Rattus norvegicus: one gene and its partners. The protein of the gene in region 5 interacts with the protein of the main gene of each other region in a pairwise test. Links are inferred from orthologs where the notes say so. Each region holds a gene or a part of one and is shown on either strand. Other genes may lie near its edges. The genes, in order: Abi2, Ankrd40, Zfp446, Rai1, Pin1, Zmiz2 and Homez.

The links.
Region 1: the proteins of Pin1 (region 5) and Abi2 interact in binary tests that used the Homo sapiens proteins (3 or more experiments, as listed by UniProt). The link is inferred for Rattus norvegicus from reciprocal best matches to the Homo sapiens genes PIN1 and ABI2.
Region 2: the proteins of Pin1 (region 5) and Ankrd40 interact in binary tests that used the Homo sapiens proteins (3 or more experiments, as listed by UniProt). The two-hybrid records come from large-scale screens. The link is inferred for Rattus norvegicus from reciprocal best matches to the Homo sapiens genes PIN1 and ANKRD40.
Region 3: the proteins of Pin1 (region 5) and Zfp446 interact in binary tests that used the Homo sapiens proteins (3 or more experiments, as listed by UniProt). The two-hybrid records come from large-scale screens. The link is inferred for Rattus norvegicus from reciprocal best matches to the Homo sapiens genes PIN1 and ZNF446.
Region 4: the proteins of Pin1 (region 5) and Rai1 interact in binary tests that used the Homo sapiens proteins (3 or more experiments, as listed by UniProt). The two-hybrid records come from large-scale screens. The link is inferred for Rattus norvegicus from reciprocal best matches to the Homo sapiens genes PIN1 and RAI1.
Region 6: the proteins of Pin1 (region 5) and Zmiz2 interact in binary tests that used the Homo sapiens proteins (3 or more experiments, as listed by UniProt). The two-hybrid records come from large-scale screens. The link is inferred for Rattus norvegicus from reciprocal best matches to the Homo sapiens genes PIN1 and ZMIZ2.
Region 7: the proteins of Pin1 (region 5) and Homez interact in binary tests that used the Homo sapiens proteins (3 or more experiments, as listed by UniProt). The two-hybrid records come from large-scale screens. The link is inferred for Rattus norvegicus from reciprocal best matches to the Homo sapiens genes PIN1 and HOMEZ.

What each region holds. Positions count from the first base shown.
Region 1 is NC_086027.1:69,319,616-69,324,065, reverse strand, and holds the start of Abi2 (abl interactor 2), read right to left. Parts: upstream 2,862-4,450; 5' UTR 2,686-2,861; coding exon 2,569-2,685; intron 1-2,568. UniProt on the Homo sapiens protein: Regulator of actin cytoskeleton dynamics underlying cell motility and adhesion. Functions as a component of the WAVE complex, which activates actin nucleating machinery Arp2/3 to drive lamellipodia formation.
Region 2 is NC_086028.1:79,777,518-79,781,855, reverse strand, and holds the start of Ankrd40 (ankyrin repeat domain-containing protein 40), read right to left. Parts: upstream 2,891-4,338; 5' UTR 2,688-2,890; coding exon 2,554-2,687; intron 2,364-2,553; exon of another isoform or gene 1,779-2,363; intron 1-1,778.
Region 3 is NC_086019.1:82,676,695-82,680,915, reverse strand, and holds the end of Zfp446 (zinc finger protein 446), read right to left. Parts: intron 2,932-4,221; coding exon 2,850-2,931; intron 2,644-2,849; coding exon 2,087-2,643; 3' UTR 502-2,086; downstream 1-501. UniProt on the Homo sapiens protein: May be involved in transcriptional regulation.
Region 4 is NC_086028.1:45,446,136-45,450,325, reverse strand, and holds the start of Rai1 (retinoic acid-induced protein 1), read right to left. Parts: upstream 2,900-4,190; 5' UTR 2,610-2,899; intron 1-2,609. UniProt on the Homo sapiens protein: Transcriptional regulator of the circadian clock components: CLOCK, BMAL1, BMAL2, PER1/3, CRY1/2, NR1D1/2 and RORA/C. Positively regulates the transcriptional activity of CLOCK a core component of the circadian clock.
Region 5 is NC_086026.1:27,464,337-27,468,554, reverse strand, and holds the start of Pin1 (peptidyl-prolyl cis-trans isomerase NIMA-interacting 1), read right to left. Parts: upstream 2,914-4,218; 5' UTR 2,908-2,913; coding exon 2,850-2,907; intron 1-2,849. UniProt on the Homo sapiens protein: Peptidyl-prolyl cis/trans isomerase (PPIase) that binds to and isomerizes specific phosphorylated Ser/Thr-Pro (pSer/Thr-Pro) motifs.
Region 6 is NC_086032.1:85,463,873-85,468,223, reverse strand, and holds the start of Zmiz2 (zinc finger MIZ domain-containing protein 2), read right to left. Parts: upstream 2,852-4,351; 5' UTR 2,451-2,851; intron 2,418-2,450; exon of another isoform or gene 2,310-2,417; intron 2,284-2,309; exon of another isoform or gene 1-2,283. UniProt on the Homo sapiens protein: Increases ligand-dependent transcriptional activity of AR and other nuclear hormone receptors.
Region 7 is NC_086033.1:32,306,658-32,310,860, forward strand, and holds the start of Homez (homeobox and leucine zipper protein Homez), read right to left. Parts: upstream 2,818-4,203; 5' UTR 2,793-2,817; coding exon 2,768-2,792; intron 1-2,767. UniProt on the Homo sapiens protein: May function as a transcriptional regulator.

The DNA of each region.
Region 1 (4,450 bases), on a different chromosome or scaffold from region 5:
ACAAATCAACTATCACCAGTTTTATTTATCAATGTACTACAAACAAATCATGTAAGAAATATCATCCTGAGAAAGTACTGCAGTAATAAATCCAGTGACTCCCACAACGGAGGACGACCTAAGAAATAATAATATGTAAACTCTACCTCACATACTGAATTTAAAATAACAGATGGCTTAAAATTCAAAATCCATTTCTAAAAAATAAGTATTTGTAATTTTACAGTGGGTTAGGAACATAATTCAGTGGTAGCCTGTATTCTCAGCATGCACAAAACAGCCCCCAACACCAAAATTGAAAACGTATAAATAACACACGAGCTTTGTTACTCTTTAGGCTAGAATTATAAATGCTAAGACAAAAGTGATCTCTTCCACCTCTCCACTTTATCCATTCATGTACTTTCCCTTTATGTGGCATTATAATCTCAAATTATGGTAACATTCATCTTTCAAAAACCTTTTTCTTATTAGTTGGCCACAATTGCAATCTAATCACTTTTCCATTCCCCAATTTCTCTTCTGACAGACAAGACTTTCTCATAATATGCTATGCAAGGCATCAGAATAAGCCCTTTGGGTCGTTTAGGTTTTGCCTCTCCTAGCAGCTGTGACTCCCTGAAAATAATAAGCATCACCTTTCTGCGCACAATTCCCTACCAAGTATAAATTAACTATTCTTGTTCCTCAGTATACAATAGGGATTAGTTCTAGGACACACTTCTGCTCCACCCCAATCCCCACTCCAACCCCATCTTTGGATGGTGAAGTCCTTTACATATAATGGCATAATATTTACATTCAATCTATTACACATCCTCCCCATAGTTCAAATCTATACATTACTTACACTATCTAATAAAATGTAAATGCCATGTTAAGTAGTTGTTACACTTTGGGAATGACAAGAAAAAGAAAGACTATTTCTTTCTCCAACAAGAAGGGCTGATAGCACATCATCGTATTACTATGGATTCACTCACAGATCTGTCTCTTGAACTATATCATAAACCCCTTAAGAGTTTAGGGGTGTACCACCACCGACAGTTCTGGGCCAAAGAAGACTGGAAATCAAGCGATAAAACTTTTGAATACTTCCTACATAGCTCTGTATTAGTAAATGATCTGACAGACATTTGTGAGGGACTGTGGTCTATCTTTGACCAAAGACACACACCCTTTCTACTGAACACACACTTTCCACCACTTCTTTAAGGGGAGAAGATTCAATTATGTCTGATTCACTCTCAATACAAATGTTTACAACACTGGAAAGGGGGCCACATTTGAAATATAAATACATAAAATATCTAATAAAAATGCAAAAAAAACCTCCAAATGCTTACAACATAATAGAACTCAGTACATTTATAACCAAATAAAATCTAAGCACATTTTCTTTAACAACATGGTCCTCAAAAATCTTAAGAACCTATAAATTCCAGCATCTGGTTCTTTTTTTTTTTTATTCATAGTAAGATTTGAGAATGTTTTCCAATACAACTGTTGTTAAGAAGACCTGCAGAGACGGAGGTAGGAACAAGAACATTAAAATATGGGTAATCGTTTAACACCATGCTTACATTCCACTTTATCCAAAGAATTTAAATGGGAGTGGGGAAAAAAAATGTAGGCACAACCTGTAATTCAGTATAAGCCCTACAGAAAACGAGATACTAGATTTGCAAACCATGAGTTAATTTTTAAAGTGTTGTTTTAATCCACAAAATTTTTACATTTATCCCATGACCAGCTGGTTCTCATCTCACCAATGCCCCGCCCCCCTCCTCACCTTCCTACACACACACACACACACACACACACACACACACACACACACACACACAGAGGAGTCCCTGTGCCAAACCAACCATCATGGGGAAAAAAACCTAAACCATGTGGTTCGTTTCCCTGATTCTTTATGGAAATAGTCATAGTTCTTTTTCCCAAAGGAAAATCACCTATTCTAACGGGAACTGGGAAGGAAAAGCAGCTCATTATCAGTTTCCCACAGGGAAGAAAAAAAAAATGGTATTAACTTGCAATAAGAGACAGCCTTTCCACCATGTCCCCTTTACAACCTAAGTTTAAACTTAAGGGTTAAGAATTTTTGTTTTGTCTTCAGGGTACATTCGCAGGAATGGAGAAGTGAGGCATTTCAGTTTGCAGGAATAGGACCCCTTCAAAAAAGATCCCTCGGAATTTGTGTGATCCACACAAGCCTGCCATCCAGCAAGATTCCGTTATACAGAAAATGCCACTCTCCACCTCCCCCGCCATCCGGAACACTGACAGGAGAGGACAGCGGGGGCGACGGGGCAGAGGCGAGGGGGCGGGACGCCACGCACCGCACCGCACGGCACCGCACCGCACTGGGGACTCGCACGGGGCTGCTGGGGCCTTCTGCGGACCCCGTTTCCTCCAGCCGCCGCCGCCCTCGCCCCGTCTCCACCCCGGCGCCGCTCCCGGGACCTAGTACCGCGCGGCCTCCTCAGCCCGCCGTCACCCCGCGCGCCCCTCACACCCCACGTCCTATCGCGCCGCGCCGCGCGAGGGGCCGCGTCGCACCTGGATGTAGTTGTTCTCGCAGTAGTCGGCCACCCGCTCCAGATTCGTGTAGCTGTCGAAGAGAGCCCGGCGGCCCCCCGGGATTTCCTCTTCCAGCAGCATCTGCAGCTCCGCCATCTTCACATCCTCCTCTTCCTCCTCCTCCTCCTCCTACTCCTCCTCATACAGCCCGCAGAGGCAGCGGCCGCGACGCCCGGGAGAGGAGGAGCAGCGGCGAACGCGGCGGGAATCGGGAGGAGCGAGCTGCACCCCCCACGGCGCGCGACAGGGGAGGGGGCGGCGGGAACGGAGGCGGGGCGCGAGCCGACAGGCCGCGAGGACGGTCACCGCGGCGACGGGCGAACGGACGGGCGCGCGCACGCGCGCTCCCCTCCCTCCGCCCCCGAGCGCCCGAAAAAGATTCCCACCCGCGCCGCCCCTCCCCCACTTCCGGCGTCTCCTAGCGACGGGAGGGCGGGGGCCGGGATGCGCGCGGGAGCGGGGCTCCCGGTTAACCCTTCGGCCCCGCGCGGCCTTCCAGGCTCTGGGAGTCCTCAGTAGCCTTTGTTAGCCGGGCGGGAATGGGCCGCCGCTCCCTGCTGCTTCCCGCTGCCCACTGCTGCTTCCCGCCGCCGCCCCCCATCTTCACCTCTGCGCTGCACCCGGGGCGGGAACCCTGTGGAGGTCATCTGCCTAAGGAAGCTTTCCAGGCCCCTGTGGAGGCCTAGGGAGAGGACACAGCCCCTTCACAAGCTCTGTGAAATATAACACCTCATCAGAACAGGCAGAGCCACTGAACTTCCAAGCAGCTCTAAATGCCACCTTGGACCTCATCGTCTTCTTTACAAATTACTGTTACCTAATCCCAAACCAATTCATTCATTCATTCATTCCCTTCCTCCCCCTGTCCCCACTTCTTGGCATGATCTCCAGTGTAGACTGAGCTGGCTAGAATTACAGCTACAAGTTGTAGTTGCCCAGCCTGGGCCTCCTTCTCACTTGACTTTTTTCAAAATTTCGATGGTAGCTTTGCTGGTACTAATTTCTTTATTCACATGGTTGTCGCATGAATAAAATTAAAAAACACACATTGACAAATGTGCGTTTTTCAGATTAAGTACTACAAAAATTCAAGGTAGTTCATTCTGATCTTGTAATCTGTATATCTAATCTTTTTTCATAAATATGATTGCCCCACAATTGTGGAGTAAACCCTGTGTTGTTACATTAGCTTTATGATAAATACATTACCAGTGTGTGTGAGCTTTTGTAGCAGAGCCTAAAACAGTATTTTTAAATGATGATATGGTCCAGCTGGATCTATTGTTGACCACTTTAGACACCTGTCTTAGCGTGAATGTTCTAAGTGTGAGAAGCTTGTGAAAAACAAAAGGGAGAGCTGGAGGGGAAAGAAGAGAAACCTAAAGAGTATATAGGGAGATAGTTATGTATAGGGCACATACACTTAGTTCAGGAAATGAAAGTACAAACAGCTGAAGAAAACAAACTCCAAACTTCAGATCAGACTCTTAGACAAACTTCAGTAGATCAAAAACCTGTGTTGGGCTGGAGAAATGGCTCAGTAGTTAAGAGCATGAACTGCTCTTCCAGAGGACCAGAGTTTGGTTCCTAACATCCCTGTCATACTGTTCACAATAGCCCTTAACCCTAGCTCCAGGAGATCCAACACCCTGCTCTGGCATCCACTGGTGGACTCATGTGGCATATTCTCACATAGAAACACACACATAAATAAAAAAAAAACTTTTAAAGAATTTTTTAAAGATTTATTTATGTAATGTATATAAGTACACTGTTGGTATCCTCAGACACACCAGAAGAGGGTGTGGGATTGCAGTACAGATGGTTGTGAGCCACCATGTGGTTGCTGGGATTTGAACTC
Region 2 (4,338 bases), on a different chromosome or scaffold from region 5:
CCTCAGCTACTCAGTAGACTAGGGTAGGAAGAAGGTAACTTTGAGGACAAGGGTTAAGACCAGCCCAGGCAACACAGCAAGGCCAAGTCTAAGAAGAAAAAGGGGGTGGGGTCAGGCAAAGAAAAATCTACTATTGTCAATATTCACTCATTTTACAGTCAATGTAGCTGGGGTAATTAGCAAGCAAATTATATAGTGTGCTAGGTGGATATTAAGTTGTGTGACAATAAAGCAGAGTAAGAGATTAGGGACTGGCAGGGTTGGGAAGAGAGTTGCACAATTTTTAACTGACAGCCAAGGAAAAGCCTTAGCATAAAGCTAATATCTAAGCTAAGATCCAAATGGGGACAGAGAGCAAACCATGGGGTGTATAGGAGAAAAGCTTTCTAGACAAGAGGGAAGGCAAAGTACAAAAGTCTAGAACCCAGGGTGTGCTGTTGTTCCAGAAAAGCAAGGAGACCAGGGGAATGGGAAGAAGTGAACAAGGAAGCAGGTCTCAAGAGATGAGGCCCAAAGGTCAGGGAAAAGAATGCAAATTGGCTTCTTCTCAGAGTAATATGGGAGCCATTAGAGGACTTTGAGTGTGATAAGCCAACTGTTCCACAGTCGGGGCAAGGCTGTATGTAGTATAAGCAAGTAGACTAGTAAGGATGTTAGAGGGAGACTATGGAACTATCCTGCATCCCAAATGGTGCTGGCTTTGTATCACAGTGTGGTGCTTGTGAGTGGTAGCCAGATCCTATCTGAACACAGAGGCAGCAGAACTGGCTGACAGTATGTGGTTTGTGAAGGGAAGACAGGGACCAAGGACAGTGCCAAGCTTTACGGTCCGGTCATATAAGAGGGCGAGCTGAGAAGAACTGAAAGCATTAGGCCAAGAGCATAAAGTGGGATAAAGGGAATCTAGGAATTCACTCTTGGACTGGATTGATTGCAGTTGGAATTAAATCTATAGGAAGCCTCATCGGGTTACTTCAAAATCACCTGGCATCCACTGGGTATCTAGCACTTGGTGGGCACTGTGCCGAGGGCATCAGATGTTGGATTCACTTTTCAGCTCTAACAGACAAGTCAGGGCTAACATTCGCACGGAATTACTAAATCCCAAATTTAGTAACTTAGGAGCACTTGGAAAACTGGATGGTTTAATTTTCCTTGGGTCTCAGTTTCTTTATCTTTAAGATGGAGAAAGATAACAATGTCCCCAGATAGTCCTGAGGTAAGCCAAGTGTTTATAACCACATTTGTGCCATAGAGCAAGTTCAGTACATGGCAGCTACTTACTATCCCTCATCTCAATAAACACTAACAACACTTCTGAAATAACTGGGAAACGAAATGACTCAACCAAGACTTCACAGCAGGGCGGACAGGCAGACCCTGCAGCAGGACCAGGCTCAGTATTCTGTACAGCACTGCCCCCCAGTGCCAGAATAGAAATTCACAGCTATCGGATGCCAGGGAAGGCAAACACTACTACAAGTGTTTTTTGCCTGCAAACGCTTCAAAATAGACAAGAAATTAGTGTCCACTGTCTCCTAGCTGTGGACAGCTACCGAGCTAGTTTCTTTAGGGAAAGGACCCGGGTAGCTTTCTTAGGAAATAAGGAAACCTCATTTCTGACTCTGTTACCATACCGAAAATTGTGCAACCAGGGCAAGACACTCTCTGGGGTTCAAATGATCTCCTGCGCCCTTTCCATTTCAAAATGTATGACTCGATTTACAGGGGAGTGGGGTGGGAGGGTTAAAACTCACTTTAACTTTAAACTAGTAAACGAGGCTAGATAAGCATTACCTGGATTAAATAAAAAAAATGTAAAATGTCAAAAAGGGTTTTAAAAAACACGCACTCAGTAACTTGGAACCAAAGACATGAGACAGACCCCGGATTTAATTGGGAAGGAGGCAAATCTGCAGGCAGACATCTAAAGCCTTGGGTGAATTTCTCTATTGGAAATTGTACTAAGAAAACAAAACATTCTACAGGGCAAACAAATGAGTCTCCCCTCAACAGGCAGCTGTAGGCAACAGCCAATCACTGTGGTATTGAAACAACAGAGGCAAAATTATTATGCAAGTGGTGGGGGTTTTGTAGTTGTTTCTTTCCTCCTGGTCTTGGCTAAAGAAATCGTGCTGGTTTTAAGATTGGCATTTGCTGGGTTGCTTATGCTTTCATCTCTGCACGAAGTGTTCTTCAGAAGCGCCCATGGCAAAATAATTCAAGCTTGATGAAATCCAGAGCAGAGTCGCTGAGAATCAAAGCCTCTAGCATCACCATTTGGGCCAAGTTAGCCAGGGGGCGCGGGGGCTGGCGTGGGCTCCAGTGTCCCAGAGGGCGCTGGCCGCAGTGAACCACAGAAGGTATGTATTTGGGAAGGATGCGCTCCTAACTGCACGAGGCAATTGGGGGTAGGGCTAGTCTGGAAAGGGCACAACCTGCGAGGCCTGAGGTACCAGGCTTCACCTTAGCCTGCGTCCTGGGTCACGGCTGACTGCTCCACGCCCCGAGCTAGCAGCCCTGTACCCTAGGCCTCCCCCGCTCGCCACTTACCAGCCGTTGACCTCATTTTGGGAGTTCACATCCACCCCGCTCTCCACCAGTTTCTGCACCTCCCGAATGTCCCCCAAGGCCGCTGCCTCCCGCAGCCTCTCCTGCTGCTCCTTCTGCTCTAGGAGGGCGCTCATCTTCCCCAGGGCCCCGGGCCCCCGGCCGCCCCGCCCTGAGCCTGTCAGCGCCGCCGCCGCCTCCGCGGCCCGCTCCCGGCCATGGGGAGGGAGCGCCGGGCTCGCCCGCCCCACTCGCGCCTCCGCCCGCGCCCGGCCCGGGGCCTCGTGCTCCCTCCCGCCCACCGGCAGATCCCCAGCTGCTCGAGGCCCGCAGGCCCAGGCCTCCACCCCCGCCGCGCCTCCGAAGGCCGGCTCCGGGGGACCCTATTCAGTGTGACAACATTGACCCAGATACTTTTCGTTCCCACCCGCGGCCCCGCCGCCCCGGCCCGCTGTTTATGTAACCACTGCACTGGATTATCTGCTGTGATTCATTGGCTATTTTTAGACCTCCCACCCCACAGCTTCCAGCGAGGAGGACAGACACAGGAATAGTTGGGGGGGCGGAGGGACCCGACATGTTTGAGAGCCAGAAAAGCCGTATCCTCTGGAGCAGGCTGTTTAGTAGGCATTAAAAATAATTGGTGGGTTTCCACCCCCACTCCCCCAAGTTTGGTTAGCTCTTTTTCTATCTGAGTCAATTTTTACCCAGTAGGACGGGAAATGGGCTGAAAACGATCCCACTATAAAATATGCCCATTATTTGCAGAGATTAGATGACACTGTTCTTATTTTTGTCAGTGCTTGGGACCATTCAGCTAGAATTACTTCAGTTATTGTTTTATTTTTACCCCTTATCGTTTTTAGACAGAAATTCTTCCAACTTGGCTTTCATGAAAATTAACGTTGCTTCTGGTTTATAAAATGAAACTCATTATAGCTTTTAAATTATAATTATTCTCGGAGTCATGTAAGGAAAGACGACCGGGAGTGGGGGTGGGGTGCTTAGTCATCCGGGTCCTGATCCTGGGCACTGAGGGTAGAGCTATGGGGTGTTCATAAACAGCGGTGTGCAGTACTCCTTGCCTAATCTAGTTAATGATGTTCAGAGCCTTTGATGGCACTGTTCTACTACCCATTGGGAGAAACAGAAAATATTATTTTGCTGAGCCCAGGTGCCTTGGAGAGATCCCTGATGTGGCACTGGTGAGAACTTTGCAGATGGGGTGAGAAGATTAAGGGAAAACGCCCTGGGGAGGCAGAGAGGAGGGCCTGAACAAAGAGGAGATAAAACACCAAGGGATACATTTAGGTATGGAGTCTTTATTTGCATTTTTCGGGGCTGCCGAGGGCACACAGCATGCATTTGTCTTGTTACTGTTTAAGAAAAAGCAACGTCTGTTTATTAGCACACGGTAATTCACACAGCGCACACTGCACACCAGGAGTGATGAATAGCAACTGACTATAAACACTTAAATCTACCCCAGTGGCAAATTGGACCGCTGCTTGAGCTTATACTTTCGTTTGTTTCCCCAATTTAAATTTTAATTCTCAGATCCAGCATAGTACTCCATCTGAGGCTGATGTGAATGGCATTGAGACTCTATTAACACAATCTGAGGGACAATAAATAGCAATCTTTAAAGGGGGGGGCGGACAATTTACAAAGATCATAGTAGGCTGCTGTTAATAGCTTAATAGAAGAGTATTTACCCAAACAAAGTCCTGGGTTTCATCCTCCAAACTGTAAAAAACAAACAAACCATCAAAGTCAACAGCAGTACCC
Region 3 (4,221 bases), on a different chromosome or scaffold from region 5:
GTTGTCTAGGACAACTATAATGAATGGGCAAACAGTCTAAGGAACATATGAAAACTTACAGCACTCGTGAGCAGGAAGAACGGGACATGAAAGAAGAGGAACATGTGAGCAGCACAGAGGGACTCAGACTGAAGCAAATCTTCAATAACGTTGTGAGCTGGAGACAGGCTCAGCAGTTAAAAGCACTTGATGTGAAATCATCAGGACCAGAGTTTGAGTCTGTCACTGGTGTTTGGATTCCAGGATGAACATTAACAAGCAGAGGTGAAGACCCTAATACTTTTTTTTTTCTTTTTTCTTTTTTTCAGAGCTGGGGATTGAACCCAGGGCCTTGCAGACCCTGATACTCTTTTCAGGCTTCCATATACATATGTATGTACATACATACATACATACATACATACATACATACATACATACATACACACACACTCATATATATACACACACACCTAAAACAATAGACTGGATTAGTGAGCAAGAATGGACAGTGTTGAAAACTCAGGTTTCTAGATGACACTTTGATGTGCCCATCTTCAGAATTTATTTGCTTATTTCTTTATTTATTTTTAAGACAGGATCTCACTACATAGCCCCAGGCTATCCTGGAACACACTATATAAAGCAGTCTGACCTCAAACTAACAGAGATCTGCCTACAACACTGAATCCTGCTCTGTATTTCTAAATTTTAAAATTAAAAGAATTTAAAGTCTTAGCCTGGCCCAATGACACAACTTTAATTCCAACACTCAGGGGCTGAGGTTGGAGGACTACAGATAGTTTGAGGGCATTAAAGTGAGACTGTCTTAAACATACATAGAATTTAAAAATATCAACCTGGGCTTGGTGGTATAAGCCTATAGTTTTAACATATAGAAAGCTGAGACAGGAGGACCAGTTAGAGGTTAGCAGCTACTGCATTAGGAGACCCTGTCTCAAACAAAAGAAAGGTCCCACTTTATCGTCTGAGCTTAAGGTGATCACCTTACCCTGGAATATCGGGCCCCATGCCACTCAAAAGGCCCTGCAAACAGAAATCAAATATGAATGATTCACCAAGGTAAACAACTACCGACTGCTAAAGATGGAAAAAGAGGTCATCAGCCAAGGGTCTCAGGTAGCTTCCAGGGTGAGTCTGTTTTTGATTTGTGTGACTTGCTTCAGCGCTTTGATGTCGGAACAATTAGTAAGTAAATCTGTTTTGATCTACCTAGTTTACAGGCATAGTTAATAGGACACCGTGCACTGAAAAGATCCTGAGTGACTGTCCAGAGGGTCACTGTTCCCTGGGCAGTAGGGAGTGGCCCTTTGTCCTCCGGTTTAGTAGTGAACTGGCTATGTGGGGTGTAGCCTTCACCCAGAGGCATGCATGGCCTGAGGCACCTACGTGTTGTCTAACTTCTCAGAAGCCACTCTTGTCCCTTCTCACTCCCAAAGAAAAGTCAACTATTCATCCAAGTCCATCCAAGTTCAGGAATTCAAAGGCCAGGGAGGTGGGGAGCAATGTGTGTGGACAAGAAACTGGGTAGCTGGAGGAGAGAAGTGACTAATTAGATCTTCAGGGCCCGGCTGCCCTGTGGTTCCTGTGGCCTGCTAACTAGCACACACGGCTGCTCTTTTGGTCAGTGGAACCAAAAGTCAGGATGTTTACTTAGAAATTCTTGTTATAGAAGTAAAACTTACATTAGAAATCTAACATGTTAGTCTGAGGGTCGCATGCAGCAGGATTGAAAGGCAGATGTGGTTTCCAGTATCTTGCACAGAGATGTCTTGCCCAGCCACTTAGGAGGGACCTAAGTGATTTCGGAGCATCCTGAAGCAGGGAGTGTCCACCTCTTGCACAAGCTGGACCCCAGTCATAGGTTAGTAACTCCAACCCAGGCCTGGCTCCACAAAGCAGGAACCAAAGGAAGGGAACAGCCTCCTCTCCATACACTGGATAACCTGGCATTGGACAGGGCAATCTTCTTGCAATCCCTGACTTACTTGGGGTGCCTTAGAACCTCCTCTTGGCTAAAGAGGATGCCAGAAGTGGTGCATCAGGGGCTGGAGGCACCCAGGGTGAGACATGCCTCTCCAGCTACTCATGGGTCCTCTGGCTGGTGGATCTTCCTATGAATGACCAACTGAAACTTCCAGTCAAAACTACACCCACAGTCCCCGCAGAAGTGGCGCCGCTGGCCTGCATGGCTCTTGCGGTGGATGACCAGCTGTGACTTCCAGCTGAAGCTGCGCCCACACTCCACACAGGTATAGGCCCGAAGGCCAGGGGAGCGCCGCATGGCCGGCTCCCAGGCTACCTGTGATGGTCTTTCCAGGCCTGGCCCTCTCGTGTGTGTGCGGAGATGAATGATGAAAACTGACTTCCAATCAAAGCTGAGGCCACACTGCTCACAAACATACAGCTTCCGAGGTGTGGGCCTAGCTGGGGCTTCAAGCAGTGGTGTAGGAGACAAGCCTGGAGGGTCCTTGCAAGGGCTCTGTCTTTCACTTGGAGTGGCTTGAACTAGCCTTGGATCTGCAATGGCTCCCACTTCTGGGGGATGGCTCCCGAGGGACTCTGATCCTTCATGTGGGGTCTCCTGTTTTGGTCTCAGCTCAGAGTCAACATGTGTCTCTGGCTGTAGCAGCGGCAGGCTTGCTAGGGAGGAAAGAACATTCATTTGGGGGCTTGGACACATAAGGGTTTGCACAAAAGTATGGGAGTGGGCACTTTCTGGTAGAAGAGAGATGCAGCTGGATGCTAGGCCACTGCACTGGGAGCCCCAGTTGGGGGCCGAGTACATGTGGGAGGTGTGTGGAGGATGGGGCAGGGAAGGTAGGACAGGGAGGGCCATTGATCCTCACCCTGGGATACCACTGTGTTGTATTTCTCCGGCATCACACCCCAGCACAGCTCTTTTTGTGATGAGTCCATCAGGCCCCACTCCTGCAAGGATGCAACCAGTCATTGCCTCTCCCAGGTAGCCTCACTTCCTACCCACTACCCCGTGGGTGGCAGGTTACTGAATCTCCATCTGCAGCAGGCTAAGGACTAAGCTAGAACTGGCATTTGTGAGTACTGTGTCAGCTTTCATCTGTTCAACCTACCATCGCTGTCTTCTCAGTGGTCTATCTCAGAGATAGTCTGAAGGACTGAAGTTGTGGATAGGTCTTGGAGAAAGACACAGTGGCTGTCCCATCCTTCTAGTCACTACACTATGAACAGGATATGCTGGGAGGTCAGTAAGAGGCCAGATACTACCTGAGCTTCAGCTACCTTCTGTCAACACTGACTAACAAAACTGAAAATTCTTCCTTGGGGTGAGAGCTTTTTCTTTGGCCTTTATTGAAGTGCCTGTGAGAAAGAGTGGGTCTGTGTAGCCCACGTTAGCCTCAAATGCACTGTGTAGCTGAGCATAACTTGAAAGTTCTGATTTTCCAGACTCTACCTCCTGAGTTCTGGGATTACCAGTTTATGCAGTGCTGGAGATAAAATCTAGGACCTCATGCATGCTAGGTGGGCACTCTACCAAGTGAGCTACATTTGCAAAACCTTTATTTCATTTTATTTTTTAGAAAGAGGATTAAGGAGCCAGGCATGATGGGTGCACACTTTGATCCCAGTGCTCAGAAGCAGAGGTCAGCCTGGTCTACATACTCAGATCCAGGACATTTGGGGCTTTGTAGAGAGATTAAACAAAACAAAACAGAACAAAAACAGGATGTGGTGGGGAGGAAGATTAAAAAGAGTAATGAAGCTGGGCATGGTGGAGCACACCTTTAGTCCCAGTACTCGGAAGTTCCTGGTCTACAAAGCTAGTTCAGGACAGCCAGGGCTTGTTACACAGAGAAACCTTGTCTCAAACTGCCTCCCAACACACACACACACACACACACACACACACACACACACACACACACACACACACACAAAGGGGTAGAGGGGGAGGAGGAATTGATGTGATGAGGTGAGTAGGTAAAGGCGATGGAGAGAGAAAGCTTAGGTGCTTTGTGCCAGGTGGCAGCCGGTTCAAGCAAGGTCTGAAGAGGGGCAATTTGGTGGCAAGACAGTGTGTGTGTGTGTGTGTGCACGAGGGCATGCATGCGTGCTGTGATGGCCATACCAAGGAAAGAATCCCTTGCCCTGAAATCTGCCATATAGGTCTTTGATAGGTTGAGAAAAATAACCCTGAAGGACAAGCCAAAGCAAATCTGGAGAAAGGAAGGTGGCTGCCAC
Region 4 (4,190 bases), on a different chromosome or scaffold from region 5:
CACCCCCTCAAAACAAACAAACAAACAAACAAACAAACAAAAGCAGAACATACATACATCTAAATACAGACAACTCATGAAAGCCTTTAAATCACCAACCATCAAAGCCAACCTGTGGGAAGAACCATACCAAATGCAAGCATTGTCAGAGACCATTAAGACACTCAATAATCTGTTTGTTTTCTCTGTTTTTCTGGGTGTTTTGTAAACTGTGTTATTATATATATGTCAAGAATACCTTTAAAAAATGACCTGCTGCTTCTAACCCCTTCACTCACTGACTCACTCATTAATCATTAATCCTATGTTTGTCTAGCCAAATACCAGACAATATTGTCTGCTGTGCCTGGCTCTGAGGTTCTATGAGAATAGCTTCAGCCTACAGGAAGTGGAGGTGATGTTCAGAGCAGGGTCAGTAGTCCCCTCTGTGCTGTATCCCCAGCCCTCCTTCACCACACAAAACTCTCCAAGGTGCTTATGCTCTGGGGTTGAACAGTAGGCAGCAGCAAGCTTGGCAAAATGAAGCTCTATGTCCCAGAGTCCTCATCTCCAAGCTGTTTCAACTCCCAAGTGTCGCAGTCTATCCTGGGGGTCAGAAAGTCACTCTAAAAGACCCAGGTCTTCGGCTGTAGGGGTGAAGGTGTGGGTGTGGGTAAGACAGAGAGTCAGGAAGGAAGGTCTGGTTGCTCTTCTTCCTAAACCCAGCCCCATGATGGATGACATCCCTCCTAGTTTCCGTGCCCCGGGCCCAACCTTTCCCTTGAGCCACAAGGCCACAGCTCGGTTGCTTGACCCACAAGCTCTGACTCTTGTTTCCTACAAGCACCCCCTAAATGAGGAGCCAGCATGCATCCTGTCGAGCTAGTGGCAGAGAGGCTGCTGCCTTGAACAGGGAAAGGCGGTCTGGATCTGCAGCTCCTAACAGGCAGTAGCATGCTGTTAGCATGGAGGGGCTAACAATGCTTCTCTGTGGTTTAGGGACTGACAGATTTCAGGGAGAAGGTTAACTCTTCGGGTTCCTGGACACAGCCCCAGAACACTCTAAAAACAATCCATTTCCCTAACCCCAAAAGGTACTTCCTTGTTCCCCTAAGAACCGTGTTTCTACGGAGAGAGGTGTCTTCCCTGGCTTCAACAGACAGCCTATTTACTATGGTATCTGGACTCCCCCACCCCCAGCAGCTCAACTAGTCATCTATCAAAGCTGGGGTTCACAACGCCCACCCAGCCCCACACCTCTCCACAAACCCAAAGATCTGACAGCTTTCAGTGCCAAGGCTCTGACCCAGACGATCCCCCCCCCCCCTTGGAGCTAAGCCCTCCCCCTTTCTGGACTGCAGTCCCCAGGAATTCTCTGGGACAGACCTCCGTTCCCATGGCGCCAGTGTAGAAAAAGAACTATTCCTACCACCCTCCCCCCTTAGCAGCCCTTCACCCCCATTTCATCCCAGGAAAAGTACAGGCATCGGATCTCTGGGTCACCAGAGCAGTGGTGTCTGCTGTGGATTTCAGGAAGCCAAGCACTTCGTCATACAAGCACATCACCTCCGGGATCACCTCTTAGCCTGCATTGTACAGGAGGGGAGGAGGCTGAGGTTAGAGTGGTTCTCCTACGTGCCCAAAGGCACCAGCCAATCGTCAAGCCCGGTTGGGCAGAATCCACAGCCCAGCCAGTGCACCCCAACTCTCCCTGCTGGGCACCCCTATTCGCCTTCCCTCCACACCATCCAGTGGTAACCTCTCCAACCCAAACAAGGAAGAAAGAGGGAGTCCCTTCCCCTGCCTAGGGCTCAGGGTCAGCAGTCACAGGAGAGGCTGAGTCATGACCCCTGCCCCTCACCGCAAAGGCATGAGATTTTATTGTCAGCTTGGCCACTCAGCTGATTTAGCTGGCGCAGGACAGAGGGAACGCAACAGGGAATGGGGAGGGGTATCTAAGGGAAGTGTTTGAAGCCGATCAGTCCACCAGATCCGGAAGCTGCCGGGAAATGGGGGTGGGGGTAGGGGGCTTAAACGCTCCAAGGCTGAGAGGAGGGGCAGCAGTAGCACCCAGAGGCGCCAGGGAACTGTCCCCCGGGAGACGGCACTCTCGGGAAGTTTCTCACTGGTTGCTCACAGTAGGACCGGTGCTCGAAACGCCCTCCCAGGCCGGACCAGCTTCCCGATACAGATTGCGAACTTGAGGTGAACTCCTTCCTTCTCCAGCATCCCCATCTGCGGCCACCCGCCGCGACATCTCAGCCCCAATTCTTCCACCAGTAGCTCGGTCGCCGTGACCGCTCACCAAGGCATTGTGGAGCAAAAGGGAGGGGAGAATCCCCAGCACAACCTAACTGCTGCGGCCATTAAAAAAAGAAAGAAAGAAAAAAAGAAAGAAAAGAAATTCCTTCTCTTGAGACTGATCCCCTCCACCCACATGGAAAACCTCCAAACACGCAAACCCGCAACTCCAACAAGGATCGCGGCGCGGTGGGAGGGGGTGCCCCCGGCGACCCCCGTCAGCAGCCCCACTTCGCGGCAGGTCAGAGCGAGGTGGCAGGCCGGGATTCAGGGAGCCCTCTTGCCCGGAGCAGCCCGCCGAAGACACAAAGCTTCGCCGCCAACAATACCTGCGGGCTCCTCCTGGGTCTTGGGGCGCCGGCGTGGCGCGTCTCGCAGTCTCCCTTTTCTCTTGCCGTCTCTCTGCAACGGTGCGCTCTTCCCCTCGCTTCTTCCAGTACCCGACCGCCAGATGAGATCCTTGGGAGAAAAATATGTGAGCGCTCACACGATTCCTTTCTCTGCGCGCCGCGAGCGCTGGCGCTGGGCTCGTTCCTCTCTTTTCGCGCTCCCGTGCGCGCCGCGCCTCTCCAGCCCCTCGCTTCCTGCTCAGCAGCGCCTGCGAGTGCCCTCAGTAGCCATTATTCACTGGCCGCCGGGGGGACAGGAGGTAATTAGAGACGGCCTTGTGGCCACGTCCACTGGGCTAGCACGATGCGGGCGCAGGGCGCGCGCGGGGAGGGGCACGCGACAAGGGGGCTTGGCTGCGCGCAGCCCGCGCCCCAGACGCGGAGGAGGGGAGAAGAGGGAGGGGGCAGGGAGGAGGAGTGGTAAGCTGGGCGCGAGCGGGAGGAGGGGGCGCCAAGGAGACGCTCTCGCGGCTCTCACCGCTGTGGCCAGGTCACTGCTGCGAGGTTCCTAGGCGCCTAAAGACCGAGTGGGGGCGGGGAGGGAAGGGGGTGCTGTGCGTGCGCGCGCGCGTGCCAAAGCTAGAAGGGAGGGAATGCTTTAATATTTTTTCTAGTGACTTACGAGCCCACGGGTGAGCCCTTGGCTGTGCGTTCAGGACCGTGTATCAGTGTGGCTATAAATTCCTGTTCTGCCCTACGTGTGAATGTCACGGGCTGGTGATGGGGGGCGGGGGATTAACTAGAAACCAGCCTCTGAACATGCTGGTAGGTCTCGGCGGGACTGAGTGATGCAGTGGTTGCGTGGGGGTGGTGTTTGTGTGCGATTGTTTATAGGTGGTAGTGTGACTGCGTGGGCGGGGCTGCCTGCGTGGGCTGTGTTCCGAGGGCGTTGTGTATTCGTATGGGCTTGTTTGTGACTGGGCTGGCTGCTGTGTGGGGCCAAGGGACTGAGAAAGTATGGACATTGCGCCTGTGCGTACACTGGCCACACGCAGGGATCTGAGGCTGCCTGTGATAGTGTAGGGTCTGAAACCTGGTAGGCAGAAGCTGGCCCTTGAAGGATCCCACCGAGCAGAAAAGCTGTTTAAGGTGCGAACAAGCAGTGCTGGGGTTGGGGCACAGAATGACGTGTGGGAGTTTGTGTGTGTGTAGGTGTAGACAAGTAGGAAGGGACCTTCATGACGTGCCTCCTTTCATTGCACCAGAGATGCACCTCAGAGATCCTAGCACTTACAGACCCAGGAGTTCAGGGTTTTGAGGGGGCAACACTGGTTGATCCCAGGATATATCTTCGAGGCGGGCAGCAAGGGAGGTAGTGCCTGAAGATTCCCAGAGAATAAGATGAAACAAAGAAGACTGGGACTTTGAGGCTGGACCTGCGGGAGTGGGGGCTGCCACCACACTAAAGACAGACCCCTGGGAACACAGAAATGCTACATAGACGCAAACTGAGAGTTTTGCCAGCCAGCCCTTTTCTAAGTCACCCACCCAGCCCACCCATTCTATCCATCCAACCATCCA
Region 5 (4,218 bases):
CTACACTGGACCCAATTCCAAACATAGATAAACAAACAGACAGCATGGGCTGAGGATCAGTGCTTGCATGGCATTGTGAGGTTCTAGGTTCAAGTCCCAGGATCACATATCACCAAAAGGTAGAGTATAACTGTTTTTACCCATTGCTTCGTTCCACAAAAACCCAGGCAGCACCTCCCCCTCCTCTGCTCACAGCAGCAGCAGTTGTGTCTTGTGCATAAACAGAGAAAGTTACTCCAAAGCTCCAGTCTTTTTTTTTTTTTTTTTTTTTTTTTGGTTCTTTTTTTTCGGAGCTGGGGACCGAACCCAGGGCCTTGTGCTTCCTAGGTAAGCGCTCTACCACTGAGCTAAATCCCCAGCCCTCAAAGCTCCAGTCTTAACCCCTGCACTGGTAGCCTAAGTCAGAGAGCAAGGGGTAGCATTACTCAGGGCCTGATGTCATCTGAGTGGCTGTGAGGGCATAAAGGAGACAGATGGAAAATCAAAACCTCAAGGGAAAACTCTGGCTTAGTGGAACATGCTGTTTGCCTAGCACTAGGGAGGCTGAGGCAAGAGGATGGATGTCTGCAGATTGAAGCCAGTAAAAGTAAGTTTGCAAGACGGACTCAAAAAAGTGAAAGGTAAAAGAGGAGGAAGGGGTATGGCAGAAGCCTGAAGGAAGGACCCAGTAGATTCTGGGTCACTCCAAGGGCTGAGTCTACCTGGGTTACACAGCTGATCTAGCATAGGAGAAGAGCTGGATGTTACCCATGAAGGAAGGGCTTTTCATAGTCCTACTGAGAACAAATGACAAGCATAACTAAGCAGAGGGGCAGGTATAGGGGTGTGTGTGTGTAAAAGAGTTTCACTATGGGGGCTGGATAGATGGCCCGGAGATTAACAGCACCATCTGCTCCTCTATTGGACTGGAGTTCAATTTCCAGTACCCATGTGGAGGCTCACAACTGTCTCTTCAGGCTTCTTGGTGGGCACTGCATGCATATGGAATACACATGCAAGCCTAATACCCATACATGTATTTTTTAAAAAAGTGTACGTAGCCCAGGACAACCATGAACCAGATCTCCTCCTGCTTCTGCCTAAGTGCTGGAAATACAGCTGTGTGCCACCACACCCAGTTAGAGACAAGTTTATGCTAGAGGTCACAACCCCACCCTAGGAATGGAGCAGCCCAAAGCCTCTGGGGATAAATCCAACTAAAACCTTTGTCAGGTCACCTTCCCTGAACCTCAGCTTTCTCATCTGTAGACTGGGACAAGAGAATAAGGACATCAGAGCATAAAGGCTTATAACTTTAGTCCCAGTGCGTGAGAGGCTGAAGCACAAGGATCATGAGTTGGAAGCAAGCTTGGGCTACACAGCAAGACTTTACCTCTGTGTGATGTAATCCCAGCAGAACACCAGAGGTTCAAGGTCATCCTTGGATAAGTATCGTCTGAGCGCTCATGCTCGCTCTTGCGCACTCTTTCTTTCTTTCTTTCTCTCTCTCTCTCTCTCTCTCTCTCTCTCTCTCTCTCTCTCTCTCTCTCTCACACACACACAAACACACACATCTTAGAAAGGAAAATGGCTCAATGGGTAAGTGCTTGCAGCCAAATCTGACGGAGTTCACAATCTACTCATGGTAGAAGGAAGAAAACTCTTGCAAGTTAAGATTGTCTGACCTTCACATGCACATACATTAAATACAGTATTACTAATATTATTAGTAAAGATTGTTTCAATAAATAAATTGGGCAAAGTGGTGCATGCCTGTAATCTCAGCACTTGGGGGAGCTGAAGCAGGGGGATCAGGAATTCAAGAGTAACCTGTCTTTATGAGGCTCTGTCTAATGCCTTTCCACATCCACTCTTGATAAAAAGGTGGAAAGTGAATGACATTAAACCTAGCTGGGTTCAGAGAGTTAACATATGCAGTGTCCAGAACCTTGATGCTTAATAACTAAGAATTTTGAGTGAGCTCTGTAGGTTGCATTGACCCTGGCTACCTGAAATGCTTGTAGGCTACTCTAGGCGTTGCCACTGACACTGGGAAGGGGACATTTGAGATCAAAAAAAAAAAAAAATCATTGCAATCTAGGGCATTCCCAGTGACTGAACTGCATTATCAGATGAGTTCTTTCCATGTCTGGCCTCAGTTTCTCCCTCTTGAAATATGAGAGCAATTCCTTTCTTGAAAGATGGTAGCAACCGGGGTGTGGGGGGGAGGAGAGCATGAACCAAGAAAAGAGAGGGAGCGAGGGAGGAGGGAGAGGGAGATGGAGGAACAGAGGTGGAGGTGGGGATAGGAGGAAGAGGAAGAGTGGAGAGGTGGGTGGGAGAGAGAGGGAGGGGTGGAAGGAGAGAGTGAGAGAAGGCAGGAGGGAGAGGGGGAGGGGAAGCGGGAGCACACACCGGCGTAGACTTGTAAAAGAACTGAAGTCTTTCAAAGAGTTTGGCACCATGCTTGACCCAGAGACGAACTGTCCTGGTTAGGAGCCATCACTGTCCCTGGGTCCCGATAGGGGGATGAGCGGGCACGTGTCTCGGATGCTGCCCGAGAAACCAGAGCAGGGCGGCCCACGCCCTCTGCACCGAATCCCGATCTTCCTCTCAAGGGAACTCCGAGGTGCAGACTCGTCGCCTCAGAGCACCGGGGCCCAGTGGTGGGCGAGAACCGGGGCGCGCCTGTGCCTGCCCCACCTCCTACCTCAGTATCTGGCTTTCCGGGCCCGTTATGCCGCGGAGGAGGCCAGATCTCCATGCCCGAAGCAGGACGGTGATGCGACTCGCCTGTGCAGGCGAGCTCAAGCCCAACTTCCGCAACCTCCAGGCCTCGCCCCGGGCCCTGGGCGACCCCTAAGAGGTACCTGAGCTGCGACTCATACGCTTCTCCCACCCGGACGGCAGCTTCTCCTCGTCCGCCATCTTCCCTCCTGCCGCAGCGCCTGCTCCGCCTCCGCGGCTCTGACCCCGCGCCAGACCAGCGCCGCTGTTGATTGGCTCATCCAATCGAGACGCCAATTGGACGGCAGCACAACGCCTCGAGCTCTCGAGCCTTTTATTGGGCTCTCCCGCGGCCTCCTGGACCACCCCTACACACACCCTCCACCCACTACCCTCACCTTCCCAACACCGCTACTGATTGGCTCGTCTGGAAGCTACGTCTATTGGATGCTCCAACCCGGCAAGCGGCTCCCTTTAAGCGTCAAAAGGGCGCTCCACCCTTTTTGGTGCGCTTAGCCGATAAAATAGTGCTTATTTGACTGGCTCCTGCGGCAGCCAATCCGGCCTTCTCAAGCCTTTCTCGGAGGTCCGCCAGAATCCACGCGGAAGTGGCCAGCTGGAACTAAGGTACATGGGTGCTTTTGCTGTACTTTGCCGTTGCCATAGCAATGCAGTTGCCTTGGTGACAAAAGGCTAACTATTCAGAGCCTAAATTTGGCTTTTGAGTTCTTCTTCCCACCTTTTCCTCCAGATGTCCAAAGCGAAACCAGTCCTTTTCGGTTTTTGCAAGGCGAACCATTTCACTGGTTTATTCACCCACTTTCCATGTCTTTTTTAGAACCTACTTCGACTTATTCCTTCTCCATGGGCTCCTCCTGACTTCTAGGCAGGTGACTGATGGGTGAGAGCATTACCACTAGACCGAGGAAAGGGGGTAGGAGAGGGTGGGCGGCTCCAACGACCGGTTTTAGTCAACTGGTAGTCTGAGGAAAACGGTGTGTTAATGTATACCTTCAATCCTAGTACTCAGGAGGCAAAGGCAGGCAGTTCTGAGTTCGAGACCAGCCTGCTCTACAAAGTGAATTTCAGCACAGCTAAGGCTACACAGGAAACTTGTCTCAACAAACGAATGAACGAATCAAAAAAAAAAAAAAAAAAAAAAGACAGCTAGAGAGATGGCTCAGTGGTTAAAGCACTAGCTGCCCTTCCATTAGACCTTTCAATTCACCAGACCTGCATGTGGTACACATTCATACATACATGCAGGCAATTCATATATATAAGAATTTTAAAATGTTACTTTATGCCTAGTGCTGGTGGCAAACGCCTTTAATCCTACACTTAGGAGGCAGAGGCAATCAGATCTCTGAGCTTGAGGCCAGCCTGGTGTACAAAGTGAGTTCCAGGACAGCCAGAGCTACACAGAGAATCCCTGTTTCAAGAATTTTTAAAAAATCACTTTAAAAAACTATTACATTTATAAGGGATACCGCCATGAAAGCTGTGTAATCA
Region 6 (4,351 bases), on a different chromosome or scaffold from region 5:
GTGAGACAGGCTGCTGGCCCCACCCAGGGTCATCAGGACAGGCCGGGTCCTAAGCCTTGCATGTTTAACACACCTGACCACAGTTTGAGAGCCTCTGATCTAGGAAATGCAGAGTTAGGGAGAAGAGAACAGGGCAGGTGTGGGGGGGGGGGGAGGCACCCACAGGGGCCTTCTACATCACATGGGCCTGGGGAATTCCACCCACAATGCTTCTCTGCTGTGGACAGAGACCACAGACATTTCCAGTTCCCCCTCAGCATGCCTCTCTTTGCTGGGAGGACTTCCTGCTAAACTGAACTCCTAAGTTCACACCTCAACATGTAGGTCTGCTGGGAAGGCCCCAAGCCCCCAGATCTGATATCCGGTGGGCCTCCTGCTCCTGATTACGGGGAGGCATTCTACGGAGTACAGACCTACCTCCCACTTCCAAGGCAGAGCTGGGGAGGAGGCCTGGTTCTCAGTGTGCCAACTGCAGCTAGAAACCAGGTTCCCTAACAGATCTGCTCTGACCTCAAGTCCATCCTGGAGTACGAGGCTGCTTTCTGGGGGTCAAGTCATGTCTTCCCTCAGGCACAGAGCTCCAGAAAACTTGCTTTCCAGGTGTCCCAGAGCAAATTCACCCCAAATCTCCTGGCTCCATCCATTTCTACCTGTCTGAGCAGCTAAGAACAGACCCAGTAATGGGTACCACTCTCAGCCAACACTCCTACGCTAGGCCAGCCCTGCTCAACAGCTCACAAAACAGGGTTCATTCCGCCAAAGTTCCAGGGTTAGGCTTCAACTTAAGAAAGTGGGATCAGTTGGGCAGTGGTGGCATACACCTTTAATCTCTGTACTCCAGAGGTAGAAGCAGGTGGATCTCTGTGAGTTCAAGACAGCCTGGTCTACAAGGTGAGTTCCAGGATAGCCAGGGCTACACAGAGAAACCTTGTCTCCAAAAAAGAAAAAAAAAAGAAACAAACAAACAAACAAACTGGGACTAAAAGGCTCCAGAGAAATGACAGTTCCAGGAACGGGTGAGGTAGCCTAAACCTGTATGTAGTCTTAGCTTCGCAGGAGCTAGGGGGCAGGAAGATCATTTAAACCTACAAGTTCAAGGCAACACAGTAAAATCACATGATGGTAGGGGGAGGATGAGTATTTGACAGGTTTGAAGTATGGCAGACAGAAACAGAGTCCCTAGTATCAAAGGAAGGGTAGTCAGGTGCCCAGAAGGCTAGAGGTCCTGCCTGCCTGTGAGGCAACAGTACTACCCCCTTCCTAGCCTCAGTGTACAGACAAACAACTGTTCATGAAGGACTCCAGGAATGAGCATCTGCCAATAGCCCAACCAAACCTGACTTCAATCTCCAACGTTTGAAATGGGAATCTGGAGGCCACTCTAGGCTATGTGGCACTTTTAAGTCCTCAGCATCAGCCCTCAGAGATCAACCCTAGTAATCAGGATGCTCCCTAAACATGCTGGGCCTGTCTCTTACCTGCTTATTCCCATTATACCTCAGCCTGCTTCCACACCCTGGGAGCACATCAAGGGCCTTGAGGTCAGTTCTGGTGAGTAAGGTTAAGCTTCCCTCCCTAGTTACCATTCTCAAGTGCCAAGGGATGCCCTTGGTACTGGCTTTGCCAGGACTTGGTGGTGTTCATCCTACTCACATAGATCAGGTCACATGTGCTATTTGCATCCCTATCAAATTTTCTGCACAAATGAGTTAAAGACATCACCCAAAGACTGTCTCTAACTACTAAGAGAAGGAACACTAGAAGGATGAGGGCAGGATAGGGGAAGCAAGGAGGAAAGGTGACGGAGTAAGAAAGGCACTGGGTGCTGGGAAAATGATACCTTGAAGGAACGGGATACTTTGGGGGGCGGGAAGGGGGGGGGACTGGGCACCTAGGAGTGGTGTTAAGGGTACCAAGGAAAACAAAAAATTTAGGGAGAGTGGGGCACTTTCGTGCCTGAGCTTCAGTTTGGAAAACGGTGTTCCTGTCAAAAACCCGGCCAGGGACTGACAGGTCAGCGTCCTCAGCCTAGGGGCAGAGCGGCTCCTTCTAGGGCCAGTAACGGCTCCCACCCCACAACCCCCGCCCTCGAATCACCCAGATGGTGAGCACATAAGTGGGAACCCGAGGGGTGCTCCGGAAGGTGAGCATGCCCCGCTCCAGAGCTGGAACGACAGGCTTGGGTGAGGGCCCATCAGCCTCCTCGGCTCAGGAGGCCCCCGAAGGCCACTTGCACCCCTGGGCCAACCCCAACAAAGGCTCAGCGGCGGGGTGAGAAAGCCGGATAGCACGGCACAGGGGACAGGTACCCGAAGGTGGGCGGTAGAGCCAGGCCAAGCCAAAACCGTCCGGGGCTCCGGGACCGGCCGCACCTGCCACCGCACCTGCCGCACCTGCGCGCCCCGCCGCCCGCGCTCGCCTGCGGTGCCCCGCGCCTCCTAGCCGCTCACCTCCGCCCGGCCCGGCCCGGCCCGTCGCCGCGGCCCCCGGCCCGCGCCGCTCCATGCGCTCAGCCCGCCCTCGGCGCCGCCCGCCGCCCCCGGGCCGCCGCCGCCCGCGCCATCGCGCCGCCGCCGCTCGGAGGGCACAATGGAGCCGCCGCCGCGCTGCTCATGCATATGCATGACGCCGCGCCGCCGGCCCCGCCCCCCAGGCCAGAGCAGCGGAGCCCCGAGCGGTGCTCCGGAGGCTCGGGCAGGGGCGAGTGCGGGCCTGCATGGCCAGGATGGGCCGGGGCTGGGCCCGGGCGGCGACTGGCTGCCGTGCAGGAAGTTCAGTGCGCCCGGCCTGCACCCTGCGTCCCCTCCGCACCTTTGCGACCGCGGCGTCGGAGGAGCCCCGCGCGCTTCCTGCTGCTGTCCACCGGGGAGGGGCCGAACGGGGGCGGGGCTATGGCGGGGCGGAGCCACGACAGGGCAGGCAGGGCTTGGGCCTGGGCCTGGGCCTGACCACACAGCCTGGTAGACTAGGCGGTTCGTGACTGAACACTGACTAGAACCCTCTGGAACCTTCGAGTCTTTCATGGCGGACGGCGCGTCTTTGGAGACAGGGACTAAGAAGCCCATCATTGAAAGTGGAAACAGCATACACCTGCCCACGTAGCCTTCTACACAGTCAAATAGTCCCTTCCTGGAGTGCTGCCTCCTTCACCTCTGTGTTGAAATCACTGTGATCTATGGGCTGGAGAGATGGCTCCGTGGTTAAAAGCCTTGACAGGAGTCAGACATGGTGTGATGGTGCACACTTTTAGTTCTAGCACTCGGAGGCAGAGGTGGCAGTTCTCTGAGTTTGAGGCCAGCCTGATCTACAAAGCAAGTCCAGGACAGAGACCCTGTCTTGAAAAGTCAAAAAAGGAAAGAAAAGGGGAGGGGGGGGAGGGTTGACCGGTTTTGCAGAGACCCAGGTTTCACTTCCCGGAGCCAACAGGTGGAATTTCCCAGAATTCAGACTTCCCTTCAGACTTCCATGGGCACCAGGCAGATAGTGTGCAAAGATGTAACAAGCTAGCAAAGTAATTATGTACATAAATAATTAAAAAACTATTTTCTAGCCAAACGAAATGGATCTATAGATACTTTTGGCATCCTGTAAACCTGGCAGGCTCATCCAGCCCTTTGACATTGCAACATGAGGATTGTCACCTATGAAGTTCGTACTAGAGAACCAGGCAATAGACTTAAAAATACCTCATGTGGGGGTTGGGGATTTAGCTCAGTGGTAGAGCGCTTGCCTAGCAAGCACAAGGCCCTGGGTTCGGTCCCCAGCTCCGAAAAAAAGAAAAGAAAAAAAAAATCTCATGTGTTAAGTAAATTCATGATTTTTTTTTTTGGTTGGACAAAATCTGTAGGAATCATCTTCCACTTGTATGCATGCAGACCCCCAGGTGACAGATTAGACACCACCTGCAAGGCACCCACTTTTTCTACCTTAAGTTTCAAAAGAGCGCATTCTCCTGATTACCCACAATTATTATTGCTATTGTTCTTGCAAACTACACTGTACATTTTGATCATGCTCAAGTGTCCAGGTAGATACTCTCAAACACATGCTTTGTCATGCCACTACTCTCCATCTGCAGGATGATTTTATTTTCTCCAACAGACACTCTATCAATAAATCAACCTTACTAATGCTGGGAGCATCAATACTGTTCCTCATGTCACGGGGACCCCAAACATACAATTATTTTGTCGCTACTTCATAACTGTAATTTTACTACTGTTAGGAATCATAAATATCTGAGATGCGGGGTATCCATTATCCATCCAACATGTAACTGCCAAAGGGGTGGAGACCCATGGATCGAGAGCCAGGGCATTGCATAATAACCTCTTACTTCTCCCACCCACTC
Region 7 (4,203 bases), on a different chromosome or scaffold from region 5:
AACAGAACCCGGACAAAAACTAATTACATGAAAAGAAAAAAAAATAGGGGTTGGGGATTTAGCTCAGTGGTAGAGCGCTTGGCTGGAGAGATGGCTCAGCGGTTAAGAGCACTGTCTGCTCTTCCAGAGGTCCTGAGTTCAATTCCCAGCAACCACATGGTGGCTCACAACCATCAGTAATCATGTCTGGTGCCCTGATTCTGGCCTGTAGTTGCATACATGCAGGCAGAACGCTGTATGATGTATACATAATAAATAAATGTTTAAAAAAAAAAGGTGGGGCTGGAGAGATGGCTCAGCGGTTAAGAGCACTGACTGCTCTTCCAGAGGTCCTGAGTTCAAATCCCAGTAACCACATGGTGGCTCACAACCACCTGTAATGAGATTGGATGCCCTTTTCTGGTATGTCTGAAGACAGCTACAGTGTACTTATATATAATAAATAAATAAATCTTTAAAAAAAAAAAAAGGTACAAGATGCTTCCTTTCCGCCATTTTGTTCTGCCATCCCTAGTCTAATACCTTACACCAAATATGAAAGAAATGGTCCATTTTTCCGAGTTTGGAAAAAATGCTGTCTGTCTTTTAAGACACATTCTCAATAGTAGCCAAGGTTCATTCACCTGCTAGGCTAACCTTGCCTCCAGGCAATTCTTCTCCATTGGCCTCCTGAGGGCTAGAATTACCAGTGTGAGCTATTATGCTTGGTCTGAAATTTTTTTTTTTTTTTCCAGAGCTGGGGACTGAACCCAGGGCCTTGCGATTGCTAGGCAAGTGCTCTACCACTGAGCTAAATCCCCAACCCCCTGAAATTTTTTTATAACATAATCACTGTAACAGGCCCCAGACCTTGCCACAACTGACTCCATGATGGAAATACCATTTAGGCTGTAAGACTCAGCACGGAGATAGCCTCCTGCTAAACAAAAACAAAGGCCCAATCCATCGAAGCTGATGAGAGTTCTGGGAAAGTCTCAAGATATACTAACCTTGCTTGTTAGCTTGTTAGTTCCACTTCTGTTGTTAACTGAAGACATGGTTTTTGTGCTTAAAAGCTCACTCTGAGAAAGGATCAGAGCTCTATTGGGACCCTGAGTACCCAGTATTGTCACCAGCTGACTCATAGACTTCCTATTGGCTAAAACCCGTGTCCGGGCAGTCTTCTCTGGTGGATACTCCACAAGTCACAATGTGTAATTCTTTTAAAATTACCATAACCTGAAAATTAACAGTATGCTAGAAAACTGAAATCCTTTCTTGTTTGTTTTTCCATACAGGGTTTTTCTGTTACCTTAGCTGTGCTGGAACTCACTGAAGAGCAGGCTGGCCTCTAACTGAAAGATCCAACTACCTCTGCCTCCCCCGTGCTGGATTAGAGACGTGTGCCACCATGGTTCAGAACCTTATTCTTTGCAGTAAGTATTAGTTACCTGTTCTATGAAAAGGCTGTCAGTGCAGCAGGGTGGGTACAGCGCGATGGGTGCAGGCGCCTGCTGCCTGGCCTGCTGACCTAGGTTTCATTCTAGGGGAACCACACCCTGGAAGAGGGACGCCATCCCAAAAAGTTGCCCTCTGTCTCTATGTGTGGGTCTTGAACACACACAAATAAGCCAGGTATGGTGGTGCATACCCTTAATCCCATCGCTCAGGAGGCAGAGGTAAGTGGATCTCTGTGAGTTTGAAGACAGCCTGGTCTACATAGTGAGTTCCAGGACAGCTGGGGCTATATAGTAAGACCTCCCATCAAACAAACAACAAAAACAAAAAAGTTCAATCTGATTTTTTTTGGTATCCAAACACATGGAAAAAAAATTGTTTGCCAGGTAGGTAATTTTTCATCAGCTTTTTTTTTTTTTTGGTAGCGTGCATGTATGTGGGGGTTCACGAGTGTTTTAGATTGATGCCAAATCTTCCTTGATAGCTCTCCACCTCAGCTCTCTCTTTTTTTTTTTTTTTTGGTTCTTTTTTTTCCGGAGTTGGGGACCGAACCCAAGGCCTTGCGCTTCCTAGGCAAGCGCTCTACCACTGACCCCCTTTCATCAGCTTTTTAAAAACTGTAACTGATTTGCATTTCCCCAGTCCTTAAACGTTCACTTTATGCCCAATCTTGTATTTAAAATTTGTATTTTCGGGCTGCAGAGATGGCTCAGTGGTTAGGAGCACTGACTGCTCTACCAAAGTTCTTGAGTTCAAATCCCAGCAACCACATGGTGGCTCACAACCATCTGTAATGAGATCTGACGCCCTCTTCTGGTGTGTCTGAAGACAGCTACAGTGTACTTACAGATAATAAGTAAATAAGTAAACAAATAAATAAATCTTAAAAAATAAAATTTGTATTTTCTTCTTAAAAGTTGTATACTTTAGGATACAGAAGTTTTACTCGACTGTGTAACCAAATGACCATGTTCGGTTTCGTCCAGTGTTTGGTGTCTCCTCTCCTAAGAAATGCCAGAGGTCAGGGGAGCTCTAAGGCTGAATGGTCACCAGTGCAGGTGTTGGGAATCTGGGATGGATTTGAAACAGGAAAAGCTACATTAAAGCTCTCTGTGAAAGAAAGAGTTCAGGGGTTGGGGATTTAGCTCAGTGGTAGAGCGCTTGCCTAGGAAGCGCAAGGCCCTGGGTTCGATCCCCAGCTCCGAAAAAAAAGAACCAAAAAAAAAAAAAAAAAAAAAAGAAAGAGTTCAGATCAACCCACCATCAAACTAAGATGTCCAAGTTGGGAAAGAGGCTAGGGCCACGGAAGCCCTGCCCAGCCTCCACCTACCTCTCTCTGGGTGTCTAGTCCTCATGCTGACTCTTCCTTCACATATGTACTTCGCTTTCAAAACGTACTGAGTGGGTGCTGTGCAATGACATCACAGCTCGACTATTATGACGTAATGAGGAGGCCAGTGACTGTGCTCCAACCAGTGTCGGTGTTCTGAGTCTCATGATGGAAGAAAGCAGGCCACTCAAGGATGTGGTAAGGCCTTGCTGGCCCCAGGGAGAGCCAGCCACTGCAGACTGAATCTTGAACAACTGTACAAAGGCGTATTTACTGATTGTTACAGAGAAGTTAGTGTTTGGGTGAAACTGGTTCCTCATAACAAAGCCCCTGACCTGACCTATGTTTAGGGAAGGAGACATCACACCTCTGTGACTTCATGTTTATTGTACGCTGTCTCCAGTACCCAATAAAGCACAGCACTCCAGGTGTGCCTGGAGCTGTGACCAAAGTCATGGAAATGCCATGAAGCTCCTTCAGTAATACAACTCTATCAATCACAGGAAACAACCGCCATTTTCCACAATAATTCCTTCCAGGTCTACGTCCTTCTAGAAAAGAACTATTCATTCTATTATTTATCAGAGATACAATGAAAACCATTCCATGCTAATGTTTACCCTAGACAATGGTTTTACTTAGAATTACACTACAAACTAGGGCTTCCCTATCAGGTCTGCTGTTCTCATTACCCTGTGGCTGATTCCATTAGTAGATGAAGCATCCCGACCTAAGAGGAAATTAGCTTCTCCCAAGCTGGTCCCTTTAACCACACAGCTCGTGCTGGGTGCCAGGCAGCTAGAGCTTGGCCCTCCAGACTTTCCCACTGTCCAAAATGGTAAAAGGATCTGATTGGAGTGTCTTGGGTCAGGGTTGCCAAACCCTCTGTACCTCTTTCTCACCCAACGTTTACATGATCCAAGACTCCATTAGGGTTGGGAGGACAGCTCAGCGGGTAAAGGTACTATGTTACATAGCGTCATAAAGACATCACCTTGACACTGGCTAAAGTCATCTGAGAGGACGTAACCTCAATTAAGAAAATGCCTCCATGTCAGGTGTACACCTTTGATCCTGGCACTTGGGAGGCAGAGGCAGGTGGATCTCTAAGTTGGAAGCTAGCCTGGTCTACAGAGTGAGTTCCAGGATAGCCAGGATTACACAGAGAAACCCCTTCTCAAAAAACAAAACAAATAGAAAGAAGGAAATAAATAGAGTGAAGGAAAGAAAGAGGGAGGAAAAGAGGAAAGAAAATGCTTCCAAAAGTACAAGCCTATAAGGCATTTTCTTAATTAGTGATCGATGGAGGGGACCCAGCCCATGCAGATGGTGCCATCCCTGGACTGGTGGTCCTGGTGTTGCAGGATTTCTGATCACACTGTGAATCCCAACATTGTGTTGTTTACTGGGGAAAAAAAAATCTGTTTCTAGTTGTG